2 linked regions of the Danio rerio genome follow. The protein of the gene in region 1 purifies or fractionates together with the protein of each later gene. This does not show direct contact. Links are inferred from orthologs where the notes say so. Each region holds a gene or a part of one and is shown in the gene's direction. Other genes may lie near its edges. The genes, in order: faf2 and nploc4.

Region 1 (3,830 bases):
GTTATTTAACTACCTCCTTAACTATAATCCTGACTCCACATTGCACGTCCTGCGATGTGACTATGGCAAATTTACACATTGCAATAATGATATAGTCATAAGTTGCTGATGTGACAATAAATAAACAAGTAAACAAACAAACAAATGCTTAATCAAAATGAAAGGATTCCAAAAACTCAGAGTGTTACTAATTACTTATTCTCATGACATCCCCTGAGTCTTTTGTTCGTATTCAGAACACATGATACAGATATTGTAGATGAGATCTGAGAGCTTCCTCATCCTCCATAGACAGCAAGGGTCTCAAGATGTTTAAAGTCCAGAAAAGGAACCAAAAGCATTGTCTAAATACTCCATGTGTCTTCAGTGGTATGAATCGTACGAATCTCTAAGAGCACGTTTAGCTTAGCTTAGCATAGATCATTGAATCAGATTAGACCGTTAGCATCTCACTCTTGTTTGACTCTTCTGTAGTCATATCATGTACTAAGATTGACAGGAAACTAAAGTTGCTATTTTCTAGGGAGATATAGCTAGGAGCTATACTTTCATTATATAGTAAAATAATAATAACAATAAACAGAAATTTGCTGTCGTACCACGGCTGCAGCAGTGCAATGACATTACAAAACGCCTGAAAATAGCTTTCAGCCACTGCATAATATCATTGCACAAAGCTTTAAATAGGAAAATTATTGAAACTCTTTGGTCATTTTTGAGAGAGATGCTAATGGTCTTATCCGATTCAATGATCTATGCTAAGCTAAGCTAAAAGTGCATATACTGAATGCATACAAAAATGGTAAAACTTACCTGTTTACCTCTAGAAGAGCTCTAAAATGAGTCCGTTTACAAAAAAAGTAAACAAGTCTTTAACACTTGTGTCTATGCACAAGTAATACAGTAGTCAACATTTAAAGTGGATCTAAAAAAGTCCACTAAGACAAGAATGGGTGTTGTTGAATAGGACGACTTTGATGAAAGGTTTTGACTCACCTGAAATGTTAACTACTAGCTGGTGGACAGATTTCTGACGTCTACATTAATCATGCTTAATGATTCCTAATGTGTGTGATATAGACTCTGGAGGAGGAGAAGGAGCGCAGGTCTGAGTGTCTCCCCGCCGAGCCACCCGTAGACGACCCAGACGGAGTTAAAATAGTGTTCAGACTACCCAACGACACTCGAGTGGAGCGGAGATTCCTCTTCGGCCAGTCTCTGACGGTAAACAGACTTTAAATCTGCTGCTTCATCTCATCACTCGTACACTGTTGAGTTCATAACACAACCATAGCAATGTCTGCGGTCCGAGATAAGAAACGGCCTCAGCAGACTCTCTGTTTCGCTGTTTTATACACAATAGCCCAGTCCTTTTTGTATTATATGCAGTGTTACATACCATATGTTTGTTTTGAGCATACAACCCAATATTTAGAGCATGTCATCAATCATTTGCTGTGTTTCCATCCACCTGTTTTTATGCACCTTTTGGGATATTGCATGAGAAAAAACCCTGGATGGAAATGCTAATATGTGCCTAAATTTTGAAAAGAGTTGGGTAAACTTTTTATCTGATAAAAAGATGCACATAATCTATGATGAAAACCCATTTACCGAATAAATTCCAGCATGTGCATCAAAAAAGTCATGTAAATTTGCTTCAACAGATCATGTGATAATAAAAATGGTGGAAAGTGACGGGTATGTTTGGGTAGACGATGATGTGTGAACATTTTTAAAAGTTAAATACGAGAGAGAGAAGTAATTATGGAATACATCAACAGGGAAGTGCGAGGGGCGATGATGCTGAAATGACTGCACACATGCATTTTCTCTACATATGCTAAAGGCTGATTGGTATTTAATTTTCAATTCAGCTTTATTTGTATAGCGCTTTTACAATGTAGATTGTGTCAAAGCAGCTTCACATAAATGGTCATAGTAACTGGAACAGTGTAGTTCAGTTTTTAGTGTTTAAGTTCAGCTCAGTTAAGTGTGGTTTGAAGTCATTATTAAGATGGTGACTCGCACCTCTCAAAAAGTGTAACCACATCGCAGCGACTAGGGATGGGTATCGTTAAGGTTTTAACAGTATTACTACTTTTATCGATGCCACTAATTGGTTCGGTACTTCAATGTTCTCTTAACTGTACTTTTTTAAATGTTTCTTTATGGAAAAAAACAACAAATTGAACAGAATTAACCACACTTTATTTTATTATTAAGTTTTTAATGTAAAATAAAACGAAACCAATAAGTGTAAAACAAATAAATATATATTTTTTTCTGTAAAAGAATGTACAATGTCGTGAAGGACGCTGACTTTCAGTTTTTAACCATTCTTCGTGATAAAAATCAACATGTTTGCCTTTTCTAGCAGAAGTCTGAAGATCTTTGTTGGTTTATTGTGCTCCCTGCAGTTGAACATATCCTCTCTAAGTTGCAAAATGCAGTTAAATGAGATAATGTAGATGATTTTTCATGAACACATTCACATTATGAGTTAACGGTGTTTTAATACAGTGTTGGAGCATCTTGCAATGTAAAAATAAGCATTTGTTTTATCAAGCATAGTTTATTATTAAGCTATTAATAGGCTATATTTGTAAATACAGTAATGTAAAAGCATTTCCAGGTTTCAACGCTAAGGATTTTTTATACTGGGCCAATTGGGCCAGTGGTTGAGGTTTTTACTTGCCCTGACAAAATTTTCACTGGCCCCACTAAAAAAAAAAAGGTATACAGCTATTTCTTATCCACGTATTTTAAATAATGGGGCAAAATAATGTCTATGAATCTAGAATTTAAACAGTTAAAAAATGTTAATAAATGTATAATGAACAGAATTAGTTGGATTTTATGCAAACGAAAGAGCAGTATGAAAAATGTGCTGGTATTTTAGTGCAATTCTAAATTATTTTTATAAAAATGGCTTGCCAAACCGACAAAACTGTTATTTATTTGTTTTTTTTCTCCAGTTTCTTAATTTTGTACCCATGTAATTGTCTGCTTCCAAGACTTTAGAAACTGACGTTTTCTTTTAGCCTCATTGTTAGATGTTGCCATCTTTTCGCTGTAATTGTTGTTACCATGTTACGAAAAAATTGCATGCTCACCGTTACTGGCCGATAGGGGCCAGTAACTATCCGGTCTACTGTCCCAAGCATCTTTCACGCTGGCCCCGGGCCACCGGGCAGTCCTTATTGTTGAGCCCTGATTTCTAATGTTTAGGATTTATTTAGGCTACTGCAGAAAAACACAGTTTTCATTGTAACTGAATGTGTTATAACTATCAGGGCCAGCGTGTGAGATGCTCGGGACAGCCCGATCGGGCCACTGATACCCTGTCATTAAAGTTTCATTTGGCTGTGAATATTTGTCAATTGCGTGCAAAAACAGTCAGAATCGAGTAGCAGTTTGTGTTTTTAAGCCTTCAAATGCTACCTTCTCGGTTCCTCTTGTCTGATTGGATGTTGTGACCAAGTTATTTTTTTCGGAACAACCAGTACAGCGAAGAGACGGCAACATGGCGGCAACATCAAGTGATGATACTTAAAGAAAACATTTGTTTCTAACGTCTTGGACGCAGACATTTATGAGGGTACACCACGACTAAAAAAATGAAGCAATGTTTTGTAGTTTGCCCTCAGTTTGACAGGTCAGCCATCTTTTGTTTTGCAATAAAATACCTGCACATTTTGCTACTTCTGTTTGCAAAACACTTTGCATTTTGCCCATTATAAATTTATTAATTTTTTTTTAAATATTCTAGATATACAAACATTTTGACACATTTTTTTGTTTTAAGAAATCGCTATTCACTTTATTTT
Region 2 (4,474 bases), on another chromosome or scaffold:
AAATCTAACTTAAAGACTTACTCCCTTGCCTTTGAGTGACTCATACATGTATTTCTTATCTGCATTTTAGTATAAAATATATACATATTTATTTCCTTTTCTTACATTTTTAATACAAGTTTTATTTTATTTTATTTTCTTAAATATTTTATCTCATTGTAAAGCACTTTGGATCAACTACGGTTGTATTAAATTGTGCTCTATAAATAAAGTTTGGCTTGCCTTGCCTTAAAATGGCTTAACTTGAAGTGCTGTAAAAAACAAAATTGGAAAAAGTTTATTTTTTAAGGTACTTTATGATATGTTGCAATATCATATCAACAACGTCCAACAGTGGATCTAACGTAGAAATTTAAAATTGTAAACTTTCCTTATAATTAATAGTTTTGTTGTTTAAAATTATTTTATGGCGAGGTAGTGGCGCAGTAGGTAGTGGTGCAGTCACCTCACAGCAAGAAGGTCACTGTGTCACTGATTCAAACCACGGCTCAGTTGGCGTTTCTGTGTGGAGTTTGAATGTTCTCCCTGCCTTCGCGTGGGTTTCTTCCGGGTGCTCCGGTTTCCCCCACAGTCCAAAGACATGCGGTACAGGTGAATTGGGTAGGCTAAAATGTCTGTAGTGTATGAGTGTGTGTGTGAATCTGTGTGTGCATGATTCCCAGAGATGGGTTGCGGCTGGAAGGGCATCCGCTGCGTAAAAACTTGCTGGATAAGTTGGCGGTTCATTCCGCTGTGGCGACCCCGGATTAATAAAGGGACTAAGCCAACAAGAAAATGAATGAATAATTATTTAATTAGTGTTGCAGTATTATAAGCTTTAACACAGAACTTATGAATGACACCTTATACACACTTTCCAACAACTCATATTAAAACTGCTTTCATTTATTCCATTCTTTTTTGCTGAATATTATTAAAAACAAAACACATATTGTTTTATCAATATTATACATAATCAATATTATGTACACAACATACAGTACATATAAATGTATTCTCCAGTAAATATAACAAATAAATAACAAGTCTATTATATCCAGATGCATCAGAATAATGTAGCTATCTAACATTATGTATAAATTATACTATATACTACACTATGCTTGTCCTATCTGCCTCTGGGCTAACTTACCTGAACTGTCTCTATCAAATGTCCAGTTTGCATCATTCTCATTGTCACTAAAACCCATCTCATCCTCACGTTCATCTGCAGTAAGAGCCAGTTATGTCCTTTTCTTCTTTCACTTACCATAGAACATGGTGGTCCTTACTAATACACTGTTCCCTGTATTCATATCTATTCAAAAGTAGTATTGCCAATAAAACTAGATTTTATCCAAAATGCAAATTCCATTAACATACAACTAAAACTGAATGATTATCATTCTTTGTTTCTCAAGAAAAGAGGTGTAATTCGTTATTTTAAAAAATACACTCTCGCCGTTTCTTAAAACAAATGACCATATGCAGGAACACAACATTAGTCTTGTTTCTCGCCGGTGGCTTTAATCAGGATCCCGTCATAGCCCGGACGCATATAGATGTAGCACCGGCTCTGTGAGTTTGGCATCGCTGCATAGACCCGAGCAGATCAGATAAACAGCGAAATTAAAATAAGCCAGCTCTCATTTCAGCGGCACCAGGAGGGAAGGTTCATCCCATCAACATGGCAGAAAGCATAGTAAGTGTCAGTCTGCGTGTGAATGTGGACAGTTTGACTGAAGTCTGTCATCCAGTGATGAGGCAGCAGAATTGTTAGCATTATGCTAATGATCAGACTCAAGCAGAAGCATCTAGAAACGATTCAAACTCTAATAACAACGCCTCTGTGTGTGTTAGCTACGTATTGCTCTCGTTTGATGTATGCTATTTTGCTAGGGGGTGTAATTTCTGCTGAAGTTGACTTTATTCGGCTTGGCACAAGGTGATGTAGATAAGATGTGTCAGTGTAAGTTCATCTCAACTGCTTATTAAAGTATGAACGTGCAAATTCATCTTATCTAACGTTAATAGTTCCAAAACGCCTCAGCTGACATCTTCAAAATAGGAAGAAATAGGACACTTTAAAGCTTCTCGTAGTCTTTTATCAGGGAATTAAATTGACACTGAGAAACTTATTAAAGTGTTGTGAATAGCTCTTGATCTGTTGTTTTGGTTTTGTATGAAGGGTGAAAGCACTGAGATCGGGAGTATAATATAATAAGGCATTCAATATGATGCTAGTCGTGTGGTATGTGGAGACTTTAGTGCTTGTTTATTGAGTGTCAGATGTCAATGGTTTGCCCTACAACCACCTGTTTTTTATTGAGTTAAAGTTGGTTTTATTTTTGCACATTTGGACTCCTTAATCACATAATTTCAGAAAAGTATTCTCAGCAAATTCTAAATGGTAAATCATATTAGCAGCCAATGACTATCAAAGTACAACATAGTTCATAGTCAATTAAATAGAGCTAATGTTGTTTTGAAGTCATATTTAGATAAATGCCATTTGACACCCAATATTCAAAGTAGTATAATAAACAATATCGAGATCATGTCAAGTTATGACTGTTCAAAAATAATATATATATATATGCGAATATAAAGCCAACTTAACCTTATTGTTTTATTTTTTTTATTTATTTTGGATTGTTTTGTGCTAATTATCATTCAGTTATGACAATAATGTCATAAATTACATTCTTCTAATAGTGTTTCATTTAAAGTAATTTGTTATGCATCAGTAAATCTGCACTAGATGTGTTGGTGGTTATAGGAGTGAACAGCAAGCTGTTGCAGTAACCAGAAACTTCTCTTCCTCTTGTTTATTCACTGACAGATCGTCCGTATTCAGTCCCCAGATGGAATGAAAAAAATCAGCTCTACTAAACATGAGACAGCTGCAGCTTTCCTCAAGAAGGTACAAGAAGGGAATTATTATTTTGTTTTTTGTTTTTTTTTTTTTCAAATTTTTATGGAACTAAAATAACAGCTCTTATCTCATCTAAAGACACTGTAGGATCCCTTTCTCTCTCTGTGTAAATATCATTATTCATTATTATTATCATTATTATTAGCCCCCCTTTGAATTTTCTTTTCTTGTTTAAATATTTCCTAAATGATGTTTAACAGAGCAAGGACATTTTCACAGTATGTCTAATAATATTTTTTCCTCTGGAGAAATCTTATGCGTTTTATTTTGGCTAGAATAAAATCAGTTTTTAATTTTTAAAAACCATTGTAAAGTTAAAATTATTACCCCCTTTAAGCTATATGTTTTTTTCGATAGTCTACAGAACAAACCATCGTTATACAATAACTTGCCTAATTACCCTAACCTGCCTAGTTAACCTAATTATCCTAGTTAAGCCTTTAAATGCCACTTTAAGCTGTATAGAAGTGTGTTGAAAAACATCTAGTAAAATATTATTTACTGTCATCATGGCAAAGATAAAATATTTCAGTTATTAGAAATAAGTTATTAAAACTATTATGTTTAGAAATGTGTTGAAAAAATTATCTCTGTTAAACAGAAGTTAGGGGAAAAAATAAACGGGCTAATAATTCAAGGGGGGCTAATAATTTTAAATTCAGCTGTATATATTTATAAAAAATCAATCACATCTTTTAAATGATGCTATTAATCAGTTCAGCATGTTTAACATTATTCATAATCATAATACAGTGTAATTAATAAAGAATACCACAACTTTGAAAATATGTATTTAATCACGGAAACATGATGGAGCCTTGCTTAATTAATCAATGAATATGTGTGAAGAGTACTTAACTAAGTTTTTTTCCAGTAGAAACCAAGTTCATAGATGTTCACATCAACCCAAAAGTTCTGGTATTATTTTGAAACACCCTGTATATTGATAAATAATTGATATTAAATGACACAAATTGGCATATTGGAGTAATTTCTAAAGGATATTACACTATAATCCCATGAATATTAGATTCTGTTGCTATCTTTTAAGTTTAAAGCATAAAAAATGAAAGTGGGTGTAAAGACGTTTAACAGTAAGTGTAAAAATAAATGAAACATTTAAATAATAATAATACAAATATATATATATATATATATATATATATATATATATATATATATATATATATATATATATAATAGATTAGTTACACTGAGATTCTATCACAAAAAAATAATAAAGTAAATAACAAACAACATATATGAAAATTTACACAAGACTATGTTTATGACAGGGAGAACAGCAAATTACAGCCTAAAAAGGTATTTTTTTAGAACTTTTTTACTTTTTTCCTTTAAATTGTAATAATATTTCACAGCATTACTGTTTCTACTGTAAAAATAATGCAGCCATCCAGATACAGACCCCAAACATAATTACATTTTACATTTATATAATATATGTGTTCAAAAAATGAAATAATGCGTTAATCAACTAGCCTTTGTAGACAAGCAGGTTATGTGTCAGCAACTCTCTCTTTGCTACTCTCACATGGTCAC

What was found.
Region 2: the proteins of faf2 (region 1) and nploc4 purify together in Homo sapiens (affinity purification with mass spectrometry; 3 studies listed by BioGRID and IntAct, with this or other methods). This does not show direct contact. The link is inferred for Danio rerio from reciprocal best matches to the Homo sapiens genes FAF2 and NPLOC4.

The regions. Positions count from the first base shown.
Region 1 is NC_133189.1:56,130,540-56,134,369, reverse strand, and holds part of faf2 (FAS-associated factor 2), read left to right. Parts: intron 1-1,080; coding exon 1,081-1,224; intron 1,225-3,830. UniProt on the Homo sapiens protein: Plays an important role in endoplasmic reticulum-associated degradation (ERAD) that mediates ubiquitin-dependent degradation of misfolded endoplasmic reticulum proteins.
Region 2 is NC_133187.1:37,899,551-37,904,024, reverse strand, and holds the start of nploc4 (nuclear protein localization protein 4 homolog), read left to right. Parts: upstream 1-1,507; 5' UTR 1,508-1,666; coding exon 1,667-1,681; intron 1,682-2,821; coding exon 2,822-2,902; intron 2,903-4,474. UniProt on the Homo sapiens protein: The ternary complex containing UFD1, VCP and NPLOC4 binds ubiquitinated proteins and is necessary for the export of misfolded proteins from the ER to the cytoplasm, where they are degraded by the proteasome.